6 linked regions of the Macaca mulatta genome follow. The protein of the gene in region 5 interacts with the protein of the main gene of each other region in a biochemical or structural test. Links are inferred from orthologs where the notes say so. Each region holds a gene or a part of one and is shown on either strand. Other genes may lie near its edges.

Evidence for each region.
Region 1: the proteins of TOPBP1 (region 5) and ATRIP form a complex in vitro, tested with the Homo sapiens proteins (2 studies listed by BioGRID). The link is inferred for Macaca mulatta from reciprocal best matches to the Homo sapiens genes TOPBP1 and ATRIP.
Region 2: the proteins of TOPBP1 (region 5) and TICRR form a complex in vitro, tested with the Homo sapiens proteins (2 studies listed by BioGRID). The link is inferred for Macaca mulatta from reciprocal best matches to the Homo sapiens genes TOPBP1 and TICRR.
Region 3: the proteins of TOPBP1 (region 5) and RAD9A form a complex in vitro, tested with the Homo sapiens proteins (4 studies listed by BioGRID). The link is inferred for Macaca mulatta from reciprocal best matches to the Homo sapiens genes TOPBP1 and RAD9A.
Region 4: the proteins of TOPBP1 (region 5) and E2F1 form a complex in vitro, tested with the Homo sapiens proteins (4 studies listed by BioGRID and IntAct). The link is inferred for Macaca mulatta from reciprocal best matches to the Homo sapiens genes TOPBP1 and E2F1.
Region 6: the proteins of TOPBP1 (region 5) and RHNO1 form a complex in vitro, tested with the Homo sapiens proteins (2 studies listed by BioGRID). The link is inferred for Macaca mulatta from reciprocal best matches to the Homo sapiens genes TOPBP1 and RHNO1.

What each region holds. Positions count from the first base shown.
Region 1 is NC_133407.1:111,863,788-111,867,287, reverse strand, and holds part of ATRIP (ATR-interacting protein), read right to left. Parts: intron 572-3,500; coding exon 414-571; intron 1-413. UniProt on the Homo sapiens protein: Required for checkpoint signaling after DNA damage. Required for ATR expression, possibly by stabilizing the protein.
Region 2 is NC_133412.1:79,402,440-79,405,939, reverse strand, and holds part of TICRR (treslin), read right to left. Parts: intron 147-3,500; coding exon 17-146; intron 1-16.
Region 3 is NC_133419.1:6,990,357-6,994,472, forward strand, and holds the start of RAD9A (cell cycle checkpoint control protein RAD9A), read right to left. Parts: upstream 2,801-4,116; 5' UTR 2,649-2,800; coding exon 2,385-2,648; intron 1,670-2,384; coding exon 1,555-1,669; intron 1,475-1,554; coding exon 1,375-1,474; intron 1-1,374. UniProt on the Homo sapiens protein: Component of the 9-1-1 cell-cycle checkpoint response complex that plays a major role in DNA repair. The 9-1-1 complex is recruited to DNA lesion upon damage by the RAD17-replication factor C (RFC) clamp loader complex.
Region 4 is NC_133415.1:86,447,443-86,450,471, forward strand, and holds the end of E2F1 (transcription factor E2F1), read right to left. Parts: intron 2,362-3,029; coding exon 2,247-2,361; intron 2,152-2,246; coding exon 1,926-2,151; intron 1,802-1,925; coding exon 1,554-1,801; 3' UTR 501-1,553; downstream 1-500. UniProt on the Homo sapiens protein: Transcription activator that binds DNA cooperatively with DP proteins through the E2 recognition site, 5'-TTTC[CG]CGC-3' found in the promoter region of a number of genes whose products are involved in cell cycle regulation or in DNA replication.
Region 5 is NC_133407.1:36,717,606-36,721,570, forward strand, and holds the start of TOPBP1 (DNA topoisomerase 2-binding protein 1), read right to left. Parts: upstream 2,801-3,965; 5' UTR 2,648-2,800; intron 1,976-2,647; 5' UTR 1,969-1,975; coding exon 1,885-1,968; exon of another isoform or gene 1,801-1,884; intron 25-1,800; exon of another isoform or gene 1-24. UniProt on the Homo sapiens protein: Scaffold protein that acts as a key protein-protein adapter in DNA replication and DNA repair. Composed of multiple BRCT domains, which specifically recognize and bind phosphorylated proteins, bringing proteins together into functional combinations.
Region 6 is NC_133416.1:3,787,411-3,790,500, reverse strand, and holds the end of RHNO1 (RAD9, HUS1, RAD1-interacting nuclear orphan protein 1), read right to left. Parts: intron 2,063-3,090; coding exon 1,508-2,062; 3' UTR 501-1,507; downstream 1-500. UniProt on the Homo sapiens protein: Involved in microhomology-mediated end-joining (MMEJ) DNA repair by promoting recruitment of polymerase theta (POLQ) to DNA damage sites during mitosis.

The sequences.
Region 1 (3,500 bases), about 75 Mb from region 5:
TGAGTGAAGCCCAGACTCAGTGATTTGCTTCTAACAAACAGAATGTGGCACAGGTGACGCTGTGTGACTTCTGAGGCTAGGCCACAAAAGGACAGCTTCTGCCTGGCTCTCTCTCTCTCTGGATTTGCTGGCTTTAGAGGAAGCCACCCACCAGGTTATAAGGATACCCCGTATCCATGTGCAGAGGCCCATGCGGCAAGGAATTACACTGCCAGTCATGTGAGTGAGCCATCTTGAAATAGATCCTCCAGCTTAAGACAAGCTTTCAGTGATTCCAGTCCCTGCAGAGATTGTCCCCACTGTGCCCTGTCAGAATTGCTGATCACAGAAATTGGGAGAAAATAAATAACAATTGTTTTAAGCCACAAATTTGGGTAGTTTGTTAAAAAGCAATAGATGACTTATGGACTTACCCTCTCTGCCCACCAGCGGCTTGTATCCTGACTCTGTCTGGCAGGGGTGGGGAAGGGACATGTTAGCACTAAAAGACTCCTTTGTAGGAAAAGATGTTTTTCCAAATTGTGGAGAACATGCTTCTGGCTTTATAACCACAGAAGGGTTTTTCCTAGGACTGGAAAAAGTTAACTATGAAAGCAAAGTAATGATTCTACTAAAACAATTCAAAATACCTGGTTACAAAATTTCTAACAAACTTTAAACTTTTCATGTCTAGGTGTTTTAACCAAAGGTTTTATCTATTATGTCTACCATTCTTTGTCAGGGGAGCAGTGCAAAATTCCAGGCATTTGGTTTTCTTTTTTAAAAATATTTTTAAATTTTAATTTCTCTATAGAGATGGGGTTTCGCTAAGTTACCCACGCTGGTCTGGAACTCCTGAGCTTGAGTGATCCACCCACTTTGTTCTCCCAAAGTGCTGGGATTACGGGCATGATCCACCGTTACTGGCCAATTCCAGGCATTTTGATCCAAATCGTTGAAAAAGTTTTTTATTCATTTTTCTATTTTTCTAATCATCCAAAAATATAATATTAGCCAAAATTCTTTTACTATTCTTTATTATCACTATTTCCAATTCCACCAAAACTTTTTTTTTTTTTTGCGACAGAGTCTTGCTCCGTTGCCCAGGCTGGAGTACAGTAGCATGATCATAGCTCACTGCAGCCTTGACCTCCTAGGCTCAAGCGATCCATCCACCTGTAATCCCAGCCTCCTGAGTAGCTGGGATTACAGGCACACACCAACATGACCAGATAATTTTTTTTTTTTTTTTTTGGTGAGACAGTGTCTCACTCTGTTGCCCATGCTGGAGCCCAGTGGCACAATTATGGCTCACTGTGGCCTCGACCTCTTGGGCTCAGTGATCCTCCCACCTCATCCTTCTGAGTAGCACAGGGACTACAGGTATGCAACCACCACATCTGGCTAACTTTTTATTCTTTCTAGAGATAGAGTTATTTCTAGAGATTGGGTTTCACCATGTTGCCTAGGCTAGTCTTGAACTCATGGGCTCAAATGATCAGCCCACCTCAGCTTCCTAAAATGCTGGGATTACAGGCGTGAGCCACCAGGGCCGGTAATTTTATTTTATTGTTTTTTTAGTAGCAGTGGGGTTTTGCTATGTTGCCCAGGCTGGTCTCGAACTCCTAGCCTTAAGCAATCTTCCTGCCTTAGCCTCCTGTGTAGCTGGGATTGCCTGTGTAGCTACCATGCCTGGTGCAAAACATCTTTTCAATGTGGAACAAACTGTTTTTTTTTTTTTTCTGGGACGGAGTCTCGTTCTGTTGCCCAGGCTGGAGTACAGTGGTGTGATCTTGGCTCACTGCAACTTCTGCCTCCAGGTTCAAGTGATTCTCCTGCCTCAGCCTCCCAGGTAGCTGGGATTACAGGCGCATGCCACCATGCCCAGCTAATTTTTATATTTTCAGTAGAGACAGGGTTTCACCATGTTGGCCAGGTTGGTCTCGAACTCCTGACCTCAAGTGATCTGCCCGCCTCAGCCTCCCAAAGTGTTGGGATTACAGGTGTGAGCCACTGCGCCCAGCCAATGTGGAACAAACGATTTTTTAATAGTCACAAGACTTCCAGGCTGGGTGTGGTGGCTCACACCTGTAATCCCAGTAATTTGGGAGGCTGAGGCGGATGGATCACCTGATGTCACATGGTGATATCCCGTCTCTACTTAAAAAAAAATACAAAAAATGCCCGGCGCGGTGGCTCACGCCTGTAATCCCAGCACTTTGGGAGGCCGAGGCGGGCGGATCACAAGGTCAGGAGATCGAGACCACGGTGAAACCCCGTTTCTACTAAAAATACAAAAAATTAGCCGGGCGCGGTGGCGGGCGCCTGTAGTCCCAGCTACTCAGGAGGCTGAGGCAGGAGAATGGCGTGAACCCGGGAGGCGGAGCTTGCAGTGAGCCGAGATTGCACCACTGCACTCCAGCCTGGGCGACAGAGCGAGACTCTGTCTCAAAAAAAAAAAAAACAAAAAAAACAAAAAAACTAGCCTGGCGTGGTGGTGTGTGCCTGTAATCCCAGCTACTTGGGAGGCTGAGACAGGAGAATCACTTGAACCTGGGAAGTGGAGGTTGCAGTGAGCTGAGATCATGCCACTGCACTCCAACTTGGGCAACAGAGCGAGACTCTGTTTCAAAAAAAAAACTTCCAATAGAATGCAAAGACTTTAAATAGAAAAAGAGTTATCAAAATAAGTATCAAAATTTTGATAAACCTATTAAGTATGTTGAAAACTGAGCAACTTCTCAGTGCTAATGTCTTTATGTTAGAGAAGCAGTGTTAACCCTCTGATCTGATCATATAATGCTGAGGTCTTTCTGTTACTGATGTGTGAAGAGGATCCCCTCTGCTCTCTTATGTGGACAATGCAAGGCATGGAGAGTTCAGTTTCACACACTGCCCATTATGAGCAAAGGCAGCAGAATGTTCAAAACCAGAAGATGCCCTGACACTGTTCAAATCTCAAGGCTGGGCCAGGCACAGTGGCTCATGCTTGTAATCCCAGTAGTTTGAGAGGCCCAGGCTGGCAGATCATTTGAGTCCAGGAGTTCGAGACCAGCCTGGCCATGATGAAACCCCATCTCTAAAAATACAAAAAGTAGCCAGGTGTGGTGGTGCATGCCTGTAATCCCAGCTACTCGGGAGGCTGAGGCAGGAGAATCACTTGAATTTGGAAGGTGGAGACTGCAGTGAGCCGAGATCACACCATTGCACCCCCGCCTAACAGAGTGAGACTCCATCTCAAAACAACAACCACAACAACAAAAAACCACAGCAAATTTCAAGGCTGATACTGACAGTGCCAGACATCTCTGTAAGGCAGAGGGCAGGACAGATCATTAACAAGTTGAGGCCAGGCACGGCGGCTCATGTCTGTAACTCAGCACTTTAGGAGGCCGAAGTGGGAGGATTGCTTGAGCCCAGGAGTTCAAGATTAGCTTGAGCAACATAGTGAGACCCCGCCTCTGTATAAAAACAAAACAAGGCCGGGCTCAGTGGCTCACGCCTGTAATCCCAGCACCTTG
Region 2 (3,500 bases), on a different chromosome or scaffold from region 5:
TATAAAAAAGTTTTACCCAAATGACTCCATCAAATTGGAACTAGCACCACGGATGTTACAGAAAGGAAACCACTTTTCCACAACAGCTGGACTCCAGGGAGTGGTGTGGCCAAGTTCCTGCTGGGCCCACTCTGGAACAGGAGAAGCTATTGGAGCAAAGGAACAGAGGCAGGAGAGGAAACCGCATAAGAACCAAAGCAGAGAATTCTAAGCACTTGCTCTTCCCCTGGACTGACTGCATCCCTCCAAAGGACATACAAAGTGCATTTGTTCTCCGGCTAACATTTGTTCTCTGGCACCACAGACTGCTACAGGCCTATGTGGTAAATAAAAAATGCTACTGAAAAACATACAGATACAATTTAAAATCTTTTGTTATTACTGGCTATAAATCCTCTCATCTTATTTCTGAAATGTTCCTCTAACCAGCTTAAAAATATATATTGTTCTTCTATTTATTTATTTATTTTTTTGAAACAGAGTTTCACTCTTCTTGCCCAGGCTGGAGTGCAGTGGCATGATCTCGGCTCATGAGCCGCAACCTCCGCCTCCCGGGTTCAGGCAATTCTCCTGCCTTAGCCTCCTGAGTAGCTGGGATTACAGACATGTGCCACCACACCCAGCTAATTTTGTATTTTTAGTAAAGACAGGGTTTCTCCATGTTGGTCAGGTTGGTCTCAAACTCCTGACCTCAGGTGATCCGCCTGCCTTGGCCTCCCAAAGTGCTGGAATTATAGGCCTGAGCCACCGCGCTTAGTCCTGTTCTTAAAAATGGCTTTGTACGGTTGCGCACAGTGGCTCACGCCTGTAATCCCGGCACTTTGGGAGGCCGAGGTGGGTGGATCACCTGAGGTCAGGCGTTTGAGACCAGCCTGGCCAACATGGCAAAGCCCCGTCTCTACTAAAAGTGCAAAAATTAGCTGGGTGTGGTGGCAGGTGCCTGTATTCCCAGCTATTCAGGAGGCTGAGGCAGGAGAAGCTTGAACCCGGGAGGCGGAGGTTGCGGTGAGCCAAGATCACGCCACTGCACTCCAGCCTGGGCAAAGAGCGAGACTCTGTCTCAAAAAAAAAAAAAAAAAAAGGCTTTGTACAATAATAAATATACAGTAACAAAACTGCAGAATATCACAATTCTGTTGCACTGAGTAGGTAAATTGGAAATAGGAAGATGTGGCTCTGCGTTGGGGAGTGTAAGGGTAGAAGGTTCTCTTAAAATAAGCCTGATGGAGGAGGTGGTTGGGGGAACAGTAACAGAAATTTCAGTGAACTCTGTGATTCTGAGAGGTCCATCTAAGACCCTAGACAAATGAAATGTTAGACATTAATGAAGTCTTGGGGAAAAAAACCCAAATATTTAAAATGTATTCAAACTTATTGAGACAACCAAGTTTTAGGCCTTCTTTCAGTGAGAGAATTCAGAGATAAATACAATGCCTACTTCAAAAGGAGCTCCCAGGATAGGAAGAGTAGGTCCACTCTTGTGAAGTCATGGAGATATGTATAAATGTTAGCATATGCTAACTCTGTCTAGATGGGCAAGGAAGGTCTCATGGAGAATGCAGTATTTGGGCTAGGTTCTAATGCAGGAATAGGATCTCACCCAGATGGAGCATGGTGGGGAGACTGGACAACAAGCTGGCACACTGATTTATAACCTGGAAGAAACTGTGGGCCATGCTACAGCAGAGAACTTGTAAAATACTGCAGTTCTTCCTTTACCAAATTCCAAAATACAGTTTTCTGAGCTGCTTCCAAGACTATATACATAGTTAAGATACAGTCTGTTCTACAATACAAAACTTTCTACAAATAGCCTACACACAATTGATAAGTAAGGTAGTGACATTAGTACAAAATATTATGTTGCTTTGGTTATGTGATCATTCCTAATGTGCTATTATTTTATGCCACCAAGTAGCAGCAGCTGAATTCAAAGTGCACAAACACAACTAAATACAAACAGCCAGAGGAGCACAGTGCTGTACACTACACCCTTTCTTTTTTTTTTTTTTTTTTTGAGATGGAGTCTCACTGTTGCCCAGGCTGGAGTGCAGTGAGCAATCTCGGCTCACTGCAAGCTCCGCCTCCTGGCTTCACGCCATTCTCCTGCCTCAGCCTCCAGAGTAGCAGGGACTACAGGCGCCCGCCACCACGCCCGGCTAATTTTTTGTATTTTTAGTAGAGATGGGCTTTCACCATGTTAGCCAGGATGGTCTCGATCTCCTGACCTCGTGATCCGCCAGCCTTAGCCTCCCAAAGTGCTGGGATTACAGGCATGAGCCACCATGCCCAGCCAACTACGCCCTTTCAACTCGTGTTCTTCTCCTTGGCTGTTTGGCCACATGCACTTTCCTGGAAGTGCTTATGATGTAGTTCCCTATCGTTGTCATTGGCCCCTGTCTCCATAATACCACAGCCTCAACCCTTTCATCATGCCATCTTCACCTTTCTTTTAAGGGATAAGGTATATTTATTATGGAGTTTACTTATTATGAATTTAATGTGTCTTTTAATCAAACTATAATTTTTATTAGGATTGCACTTTTTTTGTTGTTTTTAATTGAGACAAGGTCTTGCCATGTTGCCCGGCTGGTCTTGGACTCCTGGGCTCAAGCAATCTTTCTGCTTCAGCCTCCCGAGGAGCTGGGATTACAGGCACGTGTCCCCCCACCCAGGATTGCCTTAGTTTTTATCACTGCCAAAGATTTTGAGAAGTCTGTCCCAACTGTAGTTCTCCCAAAGCTATTATTTTTAGTGTAAGATTGTGTAGAATTTTTTAAACAAGCAAAAGAAACTTCACATCACATGACAGCATAAATGCCTATAATTGCATCTGCTGTTATATTACAAAATTCAGACAAGGGCAGTAAAGGTCTATGAGAATAAATATGACATGATAGTTTCTTCTCAAGTCATTGTATGCTGGATTAGGGGAGAAAGGCCAGAAATACCTGCCTCAGGCCTCCAAGTCTCAAGCCTCCCTCTGCATGGAGAGAGAGTGCCCCTCACAGAGTTACCTGCACCTCTTCCAGCAAATGCCAAACAGGAGCCCAACGCTAAAAACAAGGCCACCCTCCACTGGCCTCCCAGGCAGGACTTTGGAGGGAGCCCTAGGCCCTCGGAGTTAGATGCCCTCCTTGTAGTCTCCACGCCTACATGGGCAGGAGTGTGGGTGGGCCAAACACCCACACTTCTTACCCCCCAAACTCACAGGTTCAGCACCATTAGCTGCATTGAAACCACCAGGAATTAATCTCATGATCCCCTTGATAGCTGCTTTTTCCCATCATGCGAAGCCCTAGACCCCTAGGTCGCTCCAGTCTGCCCACTGGAATCTCCTCACTGCTCCTTCCGTCTTCCATCCTGTCACCTCGGCCCAGCCCTTCCACACATAAAATCCTCCCACCCTGCCCTCTGGAACTCACTGACCCTCATCAGCAAAATCCCCTATATCCTCAATTCCATCTTCTCCTGCCCTGAACACACTGTTTCCCCTGCAG
Region 3 (4,116 bases), on a different chromosome or scaffold from region 5:
ACGAGGTCAGGAGATCAAGACCATCCTGGCTAACATGGTGAAACCCCATCTACTAAAAATACAAAAAATTAGCCAGGCGTGATGGCAGGCGCCTGTACTCCCAGCTACTCGGGAGGCTGAGGCAGGAGAATGGCGTGAACCCGGGAGGCGGAGCTTGCAGTGAGCCGAGATCCCGCCACTGCACTCCAGCCTGGGCGACAGAGCGAGACTCCATCTCACACACACACACACAAAAGGGCGCGGTGGCTCACGCCCATAATCTCAGCACTTTGGGAGGCTGAGGCGGGCAGATCACCTGAGGTTGGGAATTCAAGACCAGCCTGACCAACAAAGAGAAACCCTGTCTCTACTAAAAATACAAAAAATTAGCCAGGCATGGTGGCGCATGCCTACAATCCCAGCTACTTGGTAGGCTGAGGCAGGAGAATCACTTGAATCGGGAGGCGGAGGTTGTGGTGAGCCTAGATCGTGCCACTGCCTGGGCAACAAGAGCAAAACTCCATCTCAAAAAAAAACCAACCAAAAAACCCTAAATGCAGCCCAAGGAATTGGCCCCCCTCTCTACCCAAAAGAGCTCTGAGCAGTGCTGGCTCAAGAGAACCTAGGGAAACAGATGTCAGGACCCAAAGGGACATTCAGTCACCCTGAGAAATAAGCAGGACCTTGGGCCACTTGAATACAAGCAGTGTCCAGCGTGGGACAGGGACAGGGGGAGAGCCCACTCCTCTCTGAACTGGTCCTTGCCAGGGACCTTTGCTTCCACTGGAGTCCCTGTTTCCCTGGCCCCAGACAGCCCCCAGTGCTCGGACTGCCCAGAATGGCTCCACCCACAGCTGATTACTCAGGCAGCCCTCCTGAACCACAACCTTCCCTCCAGCCTCCTGCCCTGGCCTTGGGGACTCCTTGATCCTGGGCAGTCAGGAAAAGAGGCTGCCCTTGAGTGGGGAGCACCTCTGGAAGGATGCCCAGGCCGGAGAAGGGGTGTGAGCCTCTGAGCCACAGGTTAAGGGAAGACCTTCAAGGTTACTCAAGCCAGACAAGAGATTTGGTGGCAGGCCAGAAATCTGCTTCCTAGAGGAGGAATTGGAATGGGTCTGAGCAGCCAGAAAGTCAAGTCAGACCTTTGGGATGGAGAACGAAGGCTCCTAACAGTGAGGAGAATGGAGCAAGGAGGCGCCTGCCCCTCCTCCATGCCACCGTCTGCCTTTAAAGAGCCAGGTAAGGACCTGAGCACATAGCGGGCCATGGGATGTCTTTGAGGTTCACAGAAACTCTGTAGGGAAATGAAGGACATACCTTCTTAAATCAACCCTTGAGGCCCCAAAGAAGGAAGAGAGAGACCTGGAGCTGAGCTGAGGGCAGGGGTGTGCTCACCGTGCTGGGGCGCGGAGCATGTGGGGGCACGAGGCTGGGTCGAAGACGGCCTGCAGGGACTCACAGTCCTGGAAGGACAGGTTGTGAGTCTTCCGCACCCCTGGATGGGCGATAGGGTCTCAGTGGGCCTCGCCGACCTCCCTGCTGAGGCACCCCTTGGCTGTCCGGCTGCCCACTCACCGAACTTGCAGTGCAGCTGGACCACCAGGCGGCTGCTCCGGCCGTTCAGGGAGATGCAGCATTTTTCCACCGTCTTCTCCAGCATCGCCAGTGAGCGGAAGACAGACAGGAAGGACTAAATGGGATAAGACACCTCAGCCTAGCACCGCATCTCTGCAACAAGCTCTCCTGTCCCGTGTAGGCCCACACCAATCATGGGCCCAGCCTGTAACTCTGGGAAAAGGGCTCCCACATCACACGGGACACTGGCATCCTTCTAGGCCTCATTCATGCTCTTCCTTATGCTTGCAATGCCTTGAAAGACCTGCTTACCTTTCTCTTTTTTTTTTATTTGAGATGGAGTCTCGCTCTGTCACCCAGGCTGGAGTGCAGTGGTGCGATCTTGGCTCACTGCAACCTCCGCCTCCCGGGTTCAAGCAATTCTCCTGCCTCAGCCTCCCAAGTAACTGGGATTATAGGCCCCCACCACCACACCCGGCTAATTTTTGTATTTTTAGTAGAGACGGGGTTTCACCATGTTGGCCAGGGTAGTCTTGAACTCCTGACCTCATGATCTGCCCACCTCAGCCTCCCAAAGTGCTGGGATTACAGGTGTGAGCCACCGCACCCGGCCAAAAGACCTGCTTACCTTTCTTGACGAACTTGAGCCTCACCACCCTCTCAGGTCCCCGCTGTGATGCTTTTACCAAGGCCCTCCCTGTGTTTTGCATGGATTGGACTTGCACGTGTCTCTCTCCCCACTTAGCATCTACTGAGTACCCCAGGGCAGAGGCACAGCTAGTGGAGATTCCTGGGATGGGGCAGTGCCACTGCTGAGGGAAGGGCCTCACCTTCATCAGGATCTTACAGCGCAGCAGGTCCTGACCAGGGGTTGCTGCCTGGTATTGCTGGAAGAAGAGCGGAGCAAAGAGAAAGCAGGCATAGGCAGAGCGGGAGGAGTTCACCGTCCGGAGGGAGAGCTGGGCCACGAAGAGCAGGGAGAGGGACGTGGTCAGGGGGCAGCCACAGACCCAGCCCTCCGGCTGCTTCTGCTCACACACTTGCTCTATCGTCCTCCCGCTCTGCCACCACCTGCTGAAACCCTCCTTCCACATGAAGCCTTCAGAGTCGGCCTCGGGGCTGCTGCCGCAGAGGAGCGGTCGCACACCCAGGCCTACCCCGAGTTTCTCTAAGGGCACGTTACCCCCTGGGAGCTCACAGGAGGCCAGCTTGCAATTCACACACCGGCCTGGGAAGATGACAGGCGCTAGGCTGAGAAACTGAAACTCTGCCGACAAATCTGCCAGCGGTCATCCCGCCTAGTGGGGGCGAGACTCGAGTCCGGGTTACCCGCTCCCGGCTGGAGTCCCACCCGCCCCCCCACACCCCAGCCCCTCACCCCGTCCTCCAAGGGTTCCAGGTAGAGCTCGTCCCCGATGCGGGACAGGGAGTGGACGGCCTTGCCGAGCACTGCGGGGAGGAGAGCGGAAGGGGGTTAGGCTGGCGGCTCCGCGGCTCCTGCACCGCCGCTGCCAGGCCGACCCGCACTCACCCTTCACGTTGCCGCCCGTGACCAGGCACTTCATGCTGCCCCAGCGCCCAGCCAGCGGCCAGCACTACCCCACACTCCGCGACCTCAGAGCCCGGGGTCCTTCCCGCGCACCGCCCCTGCCAGCCCCTCCCCCGCCTCCCCATTGGTCCACACGCAGGCGCCTCCGTCACGTGAGAAAAACGTTCACAGGCTCCGCCGTCACGTGACGGCGCACGTTGCCCCGGGTGTCACGTGACCCGGGAGGCCCGCGGCGCCCGTCAGCTGCTCCTGGCTCTCCAGGCACGCCTCGGCCTTCAGCGCCCTTGGAGATCGGGGCGTCCCGCGGGCCGCGCATCGGATCGCGAAGGGCAGAGAGGACGCAGCTCTGGGGCGCGAGGTTCCTGTGCAGTGGACCGAGCGCTAGACTCGGAGTCCGAATGTGGGTGCGAGCTCTCTGGGGTCACCCACTGAGTAGAGTTCCCGGGCGTCTGTCGGAGGATACACGGTGCAAGCAAGACCATCGCACCCACTCTGGGCCGGAGACTCGAACTCCAGCAGCAATCCCCAACTCTAGAAAGAGGTCAAAGCAGCTTGCTTGCAGCAGCTGGGAGTGGGAGGTGGCTGCTCCTTCTGGCTTCGAGGATCCTTGAAGGAAAAACGGCAGCTTCTCCAGGCAGAAAGGGGTAGAACGGTGCTCCTGGCAGAGGGAGGAACAAGAGTAAATGCTCAGCGGTGTGGGCTCCGCCCCCTGGAGAGGGGAGTAGGTCTGTGAGTCTCAGAGAGGCTTAGGGGCCGCCAGATGATGAGGGGCACCGCTGGGACGCTCTAGAAATGTTTTACGAGGGTAGATCGTGGTTATGTGCCTTTTTTTTTTTTTTTTTTTTTCCCCGAGACATATTCTTGCTCTGTCACCCAGGCTGGAGTGCAGTGGCGCGAACACGGCTCACTGTCGCCTGGAACTCCTGGGCTCAAGGTATCCTCCCACCTCAGTCTCCTGAGTATCTGGGACCACAGGCACACCCACCACGCCCGGCTTTTTTTTTTTTTTTTTG
Region 4 (3,029 bases), on a different chromosome or scaffold from region 5:
TTGTTTTCTTCCTCTGGTTAACTCCTACCTATTCTACAGCGCTGAACTCAAGCACTTCCTGATTTTCTCATTTAAGTAGATCTCCTTCAGACCCTGAGAGCACCAAGAAGGGAGGTAACACTCGTGTCCCCAGAACTGCTAAATACCTGACACAGAACCAGTCCACTGTCATTTGTTGCATGTTTACTAATGTCCAGAAACGTCTGGAAGACAGCAAACTGAGCACAGTGGCCTCTGGGGCTGGGAAAAGGAGAGGCCACTCATTACGCTGCACTTCGGGCAGCACTGAGTAGCATTCTTGGCTTTCCACAAAAACCTTTACTGGATCGGCTTTTGAGTTAGGACCAAAATAGCGATGAAGCTGACCTTTCTTCGAGTTCTGAGACTCAAATCAAATCGAGCAGGGACGGAGAGAAGGGAAGCGGAGAATGGGCATTTCCCCAGCAACCTTGGCCTCTCCCGCCCCGAACTGTTCCCAACAGAGTCCCAAAACCCGACCCAAACGTCATCAAAATATTTATTAAAACCAAAGCAGGAGGGAACAGAGCTGTTAGGAAGCAAATCAAAGTGCAGATTGGAGGGTGGGGCAGAGCAGTGGGGAGGCAGGCGCTTCAGACACCGCAGGAGGGACCACAGGGTCTGGGCTGGGGGAGGCCTTCACCACCCCTCCTGCCCACCACATCAGTGAAGGTCCCCCACTCACCTCTCCCATCTCATATCCATCCTGGGGGGCAGCTGGAGCCCTGAACTGGCCCCCTGGAGAGGCCCCACCCCACCATCCGTCCACCCATGGCTGTCAGTCAGTCTGTCTCCCTCCCTCACTTTCCCAATAAATAAATCACCTAGGCCTCAGCTCCTTCGGTGTGGGGCAGAACAGCTCAGGGACCCCTGTCCTTGCTCAAGGGTAGAGGGAGTTGGGGTATCAACCCCACACCCCTCCTCCCCTTTGCTGATTCCCCAGGCTTGCCAAAGAGGCCTCGATAAATAAATAACGCTCCATTAAAGCTTCAATCAGAAAAAAACCTTTAAGACAGAAGTGCTCTCACCGTCCTACAAGCCCAGCCAGCCAAAGCCTCCCCACCTGGCCTGGTCAGAGCACCAGATTCTGGGAGCAGGCACTGCCCTGGGCCTTGTGGGACCCCCAGAGCAAAAGGGCCGAAAGTGCAGTTAGAGCCCCCCCACGCGCACACATGGACTCATGCACACACATGTGGACACACTGGGGCGTGTCTGCAGTGCACACACAGGTGTATGTTCACCTTCATTCCCCGGTACATGCACACACACATGCTCACACACATTCACCCCGGGTACACACGTGTGGGTGTAGGCTGCATGCACATACACACCACAAACACAGACTCCTTCCCTTCCTGGCTTGCTCAGCCTCCTAGCGGTAGCCAGACCCCAGAGCTAGAAGCTTCTGGAGATAGGAGAGAGGGGTATAAATTAAATGTTTCCAATCAGGCTGGGAGGACGGCCAGGGACAGGGGGCTCCAGGGCTGCAGAGACAAGGTGAGCATCTCTGGAAACCCTGGTCCCTCCAAGCCCTGTCAGAAATCCAGGGGGGTGAGGTCCCCAAAGTCACAGTCGAAGAGGTCTCTGATGCCCTCGCCCTCCTCGAGGCCGAAGTGGTAGTCGAGGGCCTCGTGGGGTGGGGAAAGGCTGATGAACTCCTCAGGGAGGAGGCCGGAGAAGTCCTCCCGCACATGCTCCAGGAGCGAGTCGGCCGCCACCAGCGGGGACAGGCGGTCCTCGTCCACGGGAGCCCGCAGGCTGCCCATCCGGGACAACAGCGGTTCTGGAGAGACGGGGAGCATCACAGGCCGGGGATGCCCCAGCAGGAAGGAAGGCAGGGGCTGTCGTGCCTGCCCACCCCCAGAAGAGGGGCCCTGCCCCACCCCACCCACCTACCCATCACCCACCTTGCTCCAGGCTGAGTAGAGACTGGCTGGGATCTGTGGTGAGGGATGAGGGGGGAGATGATGGTGGTGGTGACACTATGGTGGCAGAGTCAGTGGCCCTGTTCTCCTCCTCAGAAGTGGCCTCCTGGGACGGGGTCTTCCCAGGGCTGATCCCACCCACGGTCTCCTCAGGGCACAGGAAAACATCGATGGGGCCTTGTTTGCTCTTAAGGGAGATCTGAAAGGTCTGGGTGGAAACAGCAGGCAGGGTAAACTGAGGCCCAGGTGACTACCAGCACAGCCCAGCCCAGCCCAGTTGGGCCTGGAGTTCCCAGATCTCACCTCCGAAGAGTCCACGGCTTGGAGCTGGGTCTCGGGAGGGGCTTTGATCACCATAACCATCTGCTCTGCAGGGTCTGCAATGCTACGAAGGTCCTGACACGTCACATAGGCCAGGGTTGGCAGAGTCAAGGACCACATGACCTTTGACTTCTAGGGGGTCACTCACTCCAACAGCTTACAAGGCAGGGCTCACACCTGCCTAGTCACTCCTATCCTCCCAACCTCCTACCCGTTCAAAACCTACCTCATTCCTGAGTTTCAAGTTCCACATCTATATAATGGAATCACTCTACCCATTGAATCCCAAGGTAATGATAATAGCTACCGGGAACGATTCCATGTAAAATGTTCAACACAACTCCAGGCCTGGTGCTGGGAATTCATTTTTTTAGAGGCAGGGTCTCGCTATGTCACCGAGGCTGGAGTGATGTAGCTCAACCAGAGCTCACTGCAGCCTCAAACTCCTGGGCTCAAGTGATCCTCCCACCTCAGCCTTCTGAAGCACTAGGATTACAGGCATGAGCCACTGCACCTAGCCACTTTTCTTTTTTAATCTGTACAATTTCAGAATTGGATATTATTATTTCACTTTTATAAATAACACTGAGGCCCAGAGAGGTTAAGCAATTTATCCAGCGTCACAACAGTGAGAAAATGCTGAGCCAGGACTTGCAACCAAAACAACCAGAGCCCTCTCCTGAATCCAAGCCTCTCTAGTCCCACTTGGGTGGAGCCCCTGCCTGCTAAGCCTGCCTTCCACACCCTACGGCCAATCCAAGGATA
Region 5 (3,965 bases):
AGAAAAAATAAAATAAGAACGTACCTGAAATGACTCCCCTGTATTTAGGTCCTATTCAAATTCCATCTCAAATCCAGCCTTTTCCCTATTGAGAGTCACCATCATGTCTCACTTAGACCTCTGCAGAAGGCTCCCAAATGGTCTTTTTCCCTTCCTTGCCCTAAATCTGTTCTCTACACAGCAGCTAATAATCTTTTTAAAAATACAAGTCAAATCATGTCACTGTCTGCTCAAAACCTAATGTCTTCACACCGCACCCAGAATAAAATCCACATTTCTTACTATAGCCTTCAAGACAACACAGTCTGGTTCCTGCCTATCTTCCCACCTTTACCTCCTACTTCTCATCTCCCTTGCTTACTCTATTCCAGCCACTCCCACTTTCTTGCCAGCCCTGGAACAAGCCAATCATAACCTCATTTAGATGCTCTGCTCTTGATCTTGCAGCAGGGAATACTCTTTTTCCAAGTTTTCACCTGACTTAATCCCCCACTTCAATCAGGTCTGCTTAAATGTCACCTCCCCAGAGATGCCTATCCTAACCATGCTTTCTCAAATACCCTTCCTCTACCCTTTTAGTCTATTTTATTTAAAAATACATATATATATAGTTTTTGTCTCTCTCCCCTGGAAGTTTCGTTATGTATCTTGTTTGCTACTATATCCTGACACCCAGTAAGCACTCAAAAATGTTCTGAACCAGTTTTGAGGTCCTTATGTTAAATACAGTAATCCCTTTAAAACTGTAAGTCAGATCATGTTTACTCTTCTGATTGAAACCCTCCAATGGCTCTCCACTGAGAGAAAAATGGCCCACAAGGCCCTACATGACCTCTTTACCATTATTCTCTGACACATTCCTTAGCACTCTTCCCCCATCCCTCACTTACTACACAACAGAACACTAAACTTGGATAGAGACTACAGACACTTTCCCAGGGGCTGTATAAGGTTGCTCTCTCTGCCTGAAACATTCTTCTCCAAATATCTGCAAAGCATCTCACCTCCTTCACGTTTACTCAAATATCTTTTTCTCCATAAAGCCTACCCTGATCGCACGCTATTTAAAATTATAACCCCCTTTTCTTCCCACCCCCAAGAAACATCCTCTGGAACCCCTTAACCTGTTTTGCTTTTCTCTCTTCCCAATTTATCATGTCTGATTAGTGTCTATGTCCTCCTGTTAGAATGTAAGCTCTGAGAGAACAGAAATCTTTGCCTGTTCTGATCACTGATAAATCCCAAGTACTAGAGAAGTGCCTATCAAATCATGAACACTTCAATAAATACTTGCTGAATGAATGAAATTTTTAAAAATCTGCTACAAATGCTTCTCAAACTTTAATGCACACTGACGATCTTGTTAAAGATGCAGATTCTAAGTGGTGAGTCTGGATTGGAGGCCAAGATTCTGCATTTTGAACAAACTTCCAGGCCATGCTGATACTGCTGAGATCTGTGAGAAGCAAGGCTCTACATCACCTCTACTATCATCCAATTATCACACTGTACATAATAAAACATAATTTTTAACAATTAACCAAAAAATTTTCAAGTATGACCAGTATACGACTGACTCAAATTTTTACAGCACACAAAGGACCACTCTGGTTAGGAGGCAAATGAAAGCAACTTAATTTCCAAAAACTGCAGGTCAGTCACATTAAACAGCAACGTGATAATAGACTTCCAGCCCCCCGAAATACATAATAATGTACTTAGATCAATTCGAAAATATGTAATAATGATATATCTGTATTAACGTAGACTATTAAATTATTATGAAAGTGAAATATCTACTTCTAAGACATAAAGCCCAACAAATCAAAAACACTTAAAAACAAGAAAATGAATTCACGGTATTAAGACGTTTTCAACTCTTACCTCGAGAGCTTTAAAAAAACATTTGGAATTGTCTGAAGACTTTAAAAACTTCACAAAAAACGGTTCTTTGTCATTTCTGGACATTTCTGAACTGTCAAAATAAAGGAACCATTAACAAGAACAAAACCACATTAGGTATAAAGTTCCATGTTTAACCCACCTATTTTTCCATGCAGACAAGAATGCCTAAAGACATACATTCTGGCTTTGCCGGTGAATTCGTCAAAGGCATTTGTAAGAAACCCTGGAATGTGCCCTTGAACCCATCATTTAACTTCCTCCGTTTTCTTTGGCAAAGCCAAAGAAAAACATGACAACACCAATCCTTGCAAATCAGAGAGCAAAATTAACCCGAATTGAATACACTGAGGAGGGCCCTGCTATGAAGGCTCTAAGCCCTCTAAGCCAATGGACATTCAATTGCACTTGTTTTATGGATACACAGAGTGCATCTGTCCCTGCGGATACTCACGGCCTGCGAGGTTCGTTCACCCCTCAGTAAACAGATTTTAAATATAAACATGGAAGCCAGTTAGCATGGTCTTTGCCCCTGCATAAGGCCAGATGCTCCAGTTCCCAGCTCCAGAAAAAGGCCTGGCTCTGGGATCACGGAAGCCACGTCCTTTAGGTGTCAAAGGCCCACCCGCCAGTCCCAGGGCCAGTTACTAGGACAGGAAAAGAGGGTCCTGAAGGCCATAGAACGCATCGCGAACCCCAGTTGGGGCCGGGGAGGAGCTGAGTCCCCACTCCGCGCCTTACTTACCTCGTTGGGGCCTCGGGGTCTCCGGGCGGCGAGTCGGGGGACGCGCTGCCCGCAGGGCGGTGGCTGGGGTCGGGCGCCAGCCCGGCGCACAGCCCCCTCCCCCGACTCGGCGCCGCCCCTACCCCAAAGCAAACGCTGGAGAACCCGGAAATTGACCAGAACGGAAACCGACTTTCGCGCCAACCGCGCGGCTGCGCTCGCCTTTTCCGGTGGAAGTGACGCCATCCGCAGCTGCGGCAGGAAAGCGGAAATGTCAAAAGTGGAGGTGAGCGGTCCATGGGCGGTAGGGATTCAGGGAAAGCTTGGGCCGGATCCCTTGGATTAGGGCTTTGCTGGGCAGGCCTACTCGCCGCGGAGAGTAGGCCCAGCGCCGTCCGTTCAAGAGGTAGGACCACAGGCCAGGAATACTCCTTTACTGTTAAAAAAGCCACGGAAAGAAAGGATGTCCTCAATAGATGTACTTTATACCTGCCTTATACCAGGTATGCACGGAAAAACGTATTATCCAAAACAATTCCTTGAGGCAAATAGTGGTAGTTCCATTTTGCAGATGTAAAAACGGAGGAAGTTAAATGATGGGTTCAAGGGCACACGGCTAGTAAGTGGTAGAATTAATACTGCATCCAGGTCTTCTGACTACGGACTGGGTGGTTTCCCTCCAACACAGCAGGAATAGAATCACTGCCTAACACAGCCACAAGATGGCAAGGGAAGAAAGGATGACTTACTACACAGCTAATGTCTTTGCCAAGATCGTCAATGGTCTCCCCTCCTCCTCCCCTTCAGTGGACATCACCGTTCTCTTTCTCTGCATCTGCCTCGTACTGGGGAGATTCTAGCACTGAACCTGAGGTTCAAATGGCAGAGAGCAAAGGGAGAGGGGGTAAAATGGGCCTGCAAAACCTTAGCTCAGTGATAACTAGTGGTAAACTGATTAGTTGTTGCTTCTTTTCATTTTATTCTTTAAAAATATTTTTTTCTTATTTTATAAAATCTAGCCACTATACTAATGCGGATCATTTTATTCTTGACTGCTGAGATTGAGAAAATGACTTTGGATTTACTAATGTAAAAGTATAATGCCATGTCCCTTGATCGTTTTTGTTTTTCTTTTCTCTTTAGAGCCTAAAGATAGTAGTGAGCAGCTTGAGTCTTAAGTGTTTGAATACAACGATGGAAGGTGACAAGGATTCTTTGCTTGGCCAAACTTTAGTCAGACTCCTCAACTTTCTCGTAGGTTTATCTGTGTATTTCCTTGGAAAATCCAGTTAGAACCCTCCACGCTCAATATCTGATCAGGTTCCTCATCCTCTACCAT
Region 6 (3,090 bases), on a different chromosome or scaffold from region 5:
TCCTCAAACATCCATAGCCCACAGTGGAAGCCCCTGTCTAAAAGTGTACTCTGTCTCCAATAAATCCCGTCCCCAAATGTCAGTCCCTTTCTCCCTACCGACATGCACATCATCCCTACAGAACATCCTAAGTCCTGACGAGTCTCTGCACAAATGGCTTTATGGCATTCTAAGGTCAAAGTTGTTTCCCACATTGGTTTTGAACCTACAAGTTAGAACTTTAGGAGGCACACGCTGAGTGGACCGTTACACTGCCTGGGTCAGCCTGCACTCACTGTGTGACCCTGTGTATGGTTCATTCTCTGCGTCAAATTCCCATCTGTAAAATATGCAGAGTAATCCCTGCTTGATCTAGTTGGGGCTGGACCTGACACAGTAGGTCCAGCTGAATGAATGCTGGATGAATGGGGTTTAATGAGATGTACTTATCTGAGTAAAAGGCCATCTGAGACATTCGGTTGACTAGGGAAGTCCTTCTGCATTAATTACAATAAGTAATATTCATTGAAAACTTTCCTTATTTATTTATACACAGTTGAACAGTTACTCTAAGAAATCATTTTCTCACCCTATTTAATATTGATAGATTTCTTCAGTTAGAAACAAAAACTCAAAACATAGGCAATCCTAAAGAACTCATCTACGTCCCCTTTATCTTCCCTGATCTCATATAGTCCCTAAAACAGGGCTTGCTGCCCTTTCTTCTTCTTGCCTTTTCAGCAGATGAGTCAAGGTTGCAGAGGTGGCAGTCAACCACAGAGTCACAGTTTGATTTTTTTCCATCCATCAGCTCATAGAAGCTGCCATTGAGCCTGACAAGAGCTGGTACTCAAAAATGCAGAATGAATTGGTTTGAATGAGGTGATTAAAGGATTAACAAGTAGTGGTTAAGGAGACAAAGACCTTTAGTGGATGGGGTAATATTGCTGTATTACTGACAGAAGCAGGATTCTCTAAAAAAACTTTCTGTAGCCATTTACTTACATACATTTTAAAGAGTTACTACAAGATATTTTAAAAATTTAAACAGTTAATACAAGAAAAATATAAAGTGAATAGTTCATGACACTAAACTCAACTGTTCATGACACAAAGTATCTTAGAAAACAAATCTCGGCTGGGCGCGGTGGCTCACGCCTGTAATCCCAGCACTTTGGAAGGTCCAGGTCAGCAGATGAATTGAGGTCAGGATTTTGAAACCAGCCTGGCCAACATGGAGAAACCTCATCTCTACTAAAAATACAAAAAAATTAGCCAGGCATGGTGGCAGGTGCCTGTAATCCCAGCTACTGGGGAGGCTGAGGCAGGAGCATTGCTTGAACCCAGGAAGTGGAGGTTGCAGTGAGATGCGATCATACCACTGCACTCCAGCCTGGGCAACAGAGCGATATTACATCTCAAAATACAAAACAAAATAAAACAAACAAACAAAAAAAACCCCTGGGAATTGAATTCCTTTATGACTCCAAAAAACATGTCTCTTTTCTATTGAGATTGCTGATGGCAGTCAGCTTTTCACAAGGAATTGGCTTCTGCTCAGCTTCCCTCTCTCCCTGAGGTAAGCAAGCAGGTGCTGTCGTCTCCTCCACGTGACCTTTATTCCATACTTGTCTTCGGGGGTGTCTTCAACCAGAACAGGTCCAGGCTCTGGGCTATCAGGAGTGCCAGTGTGAAGAGAGCAGCTTGGAAGGCTATTTTCCTTCTGATCCCGGGGAATGAGTTCTTCCTTCACAGACGATGACTCTGGGGTCTGGATATCAGGTGGAATGAACACATAAGGTAAGCTCGGAAGTGCCTGTGCTGACATGTCCCCACAGCTTTGGGGACTGAGCACTGGAACTAAGGGTCTTCTGGAAACATCCTTTTCTGATTCACTGGGGCACTCCCGGATTAAGGGGATCCCCAATGTCTCTGAATTGGAAGACTGCGGACTCTCAAAAGTTAGATGTGGAAACTTGGAGGTGGTAGATTTTCGACTTGAATGTCTCGCCCGGTTTTGGTGGTGGTGTTTCCGGTAGGCTGGGAACAAGCTTCCTGCTGTTGTATCAAAATCAGGTGATACCTTTAAAAAAAAAAAAAAAAAGTGAGGTGAGCCTAACTAAGTACTAACCTAAGAGAGGAAACTATATCTGATGACCAGACTCTTAAATCGGGGTCTAATGTAGTAATGAACACAAAACTAAAATAGCTGTCTAATGGGATAGTAACAGGATGCTTTCGGCAAATTATTCCATCTCTCTGGCCTTCAGCTTCCTCGTGTGTAGGAAAGGGGATGATGTCTCTTTCCGTTCATCACACCACAGGGATATAACGTTTTTCCCCCTGGGATGGAGTCTCAATCCGACATCTAGACTGGAGTGCAGTGGCATAATCTCAGCTCACTGCAACTTCTGCCTCCCAGGTTCCAGCGATTCTCCTGCTTCAGCTTCCTGAGTAGCCAGGACTACAGGCGCCTGCCACCACGCCCAGCTATGTGTGTGTGTGTGTGTGTGTGTGTATATATATATATATATTTTTTTTTTTTTTTTTTGAGACAGAGTTTCGCTCTTGTCACCCAGGCTGGAGTGTAATGGCACTCTGCTCTGCTCACTGCAACTTCTGCCTCCCTGATGCAAGCAATTCTACTGCCTCAGCTTCCCGTGTAGCTGGGATTACAGGCACGCACCACCATGCCCAGCTACTTTTTGTATATTTTGTAGAGACGGAATTTTACCATTTTGAGCAGGTTGACCTTGAACTCCTGACCTCAAGTTATCCACCTGCCTTGGCCTCCCAAAGTGCTGGGATTACAGGCATGAGCCACGGCACCCAGCCAATTTTTGTATTTTTAGTAGAGTCAGGTTTTTGCCATGTTGGTCAGACTGGTCTCAAACTCCTGACCTCAAGTGATCCACCCGCCTCAGCCTCCCAAAGTGCTGGGATTACAGGCGTGAGCCACAATGACTGGCCTAGATATAACTTATCTTTAAACTTCATGAGGGTAGAGACCAGCGGTCTTGTTCTTGATTCCCAGCACCTAGCAGAATGCCTGGAACAAAGAAGGCCCTCAGTAAATAATGCAAAGCCAACTCCAAGCACAGGGGGGAGGAA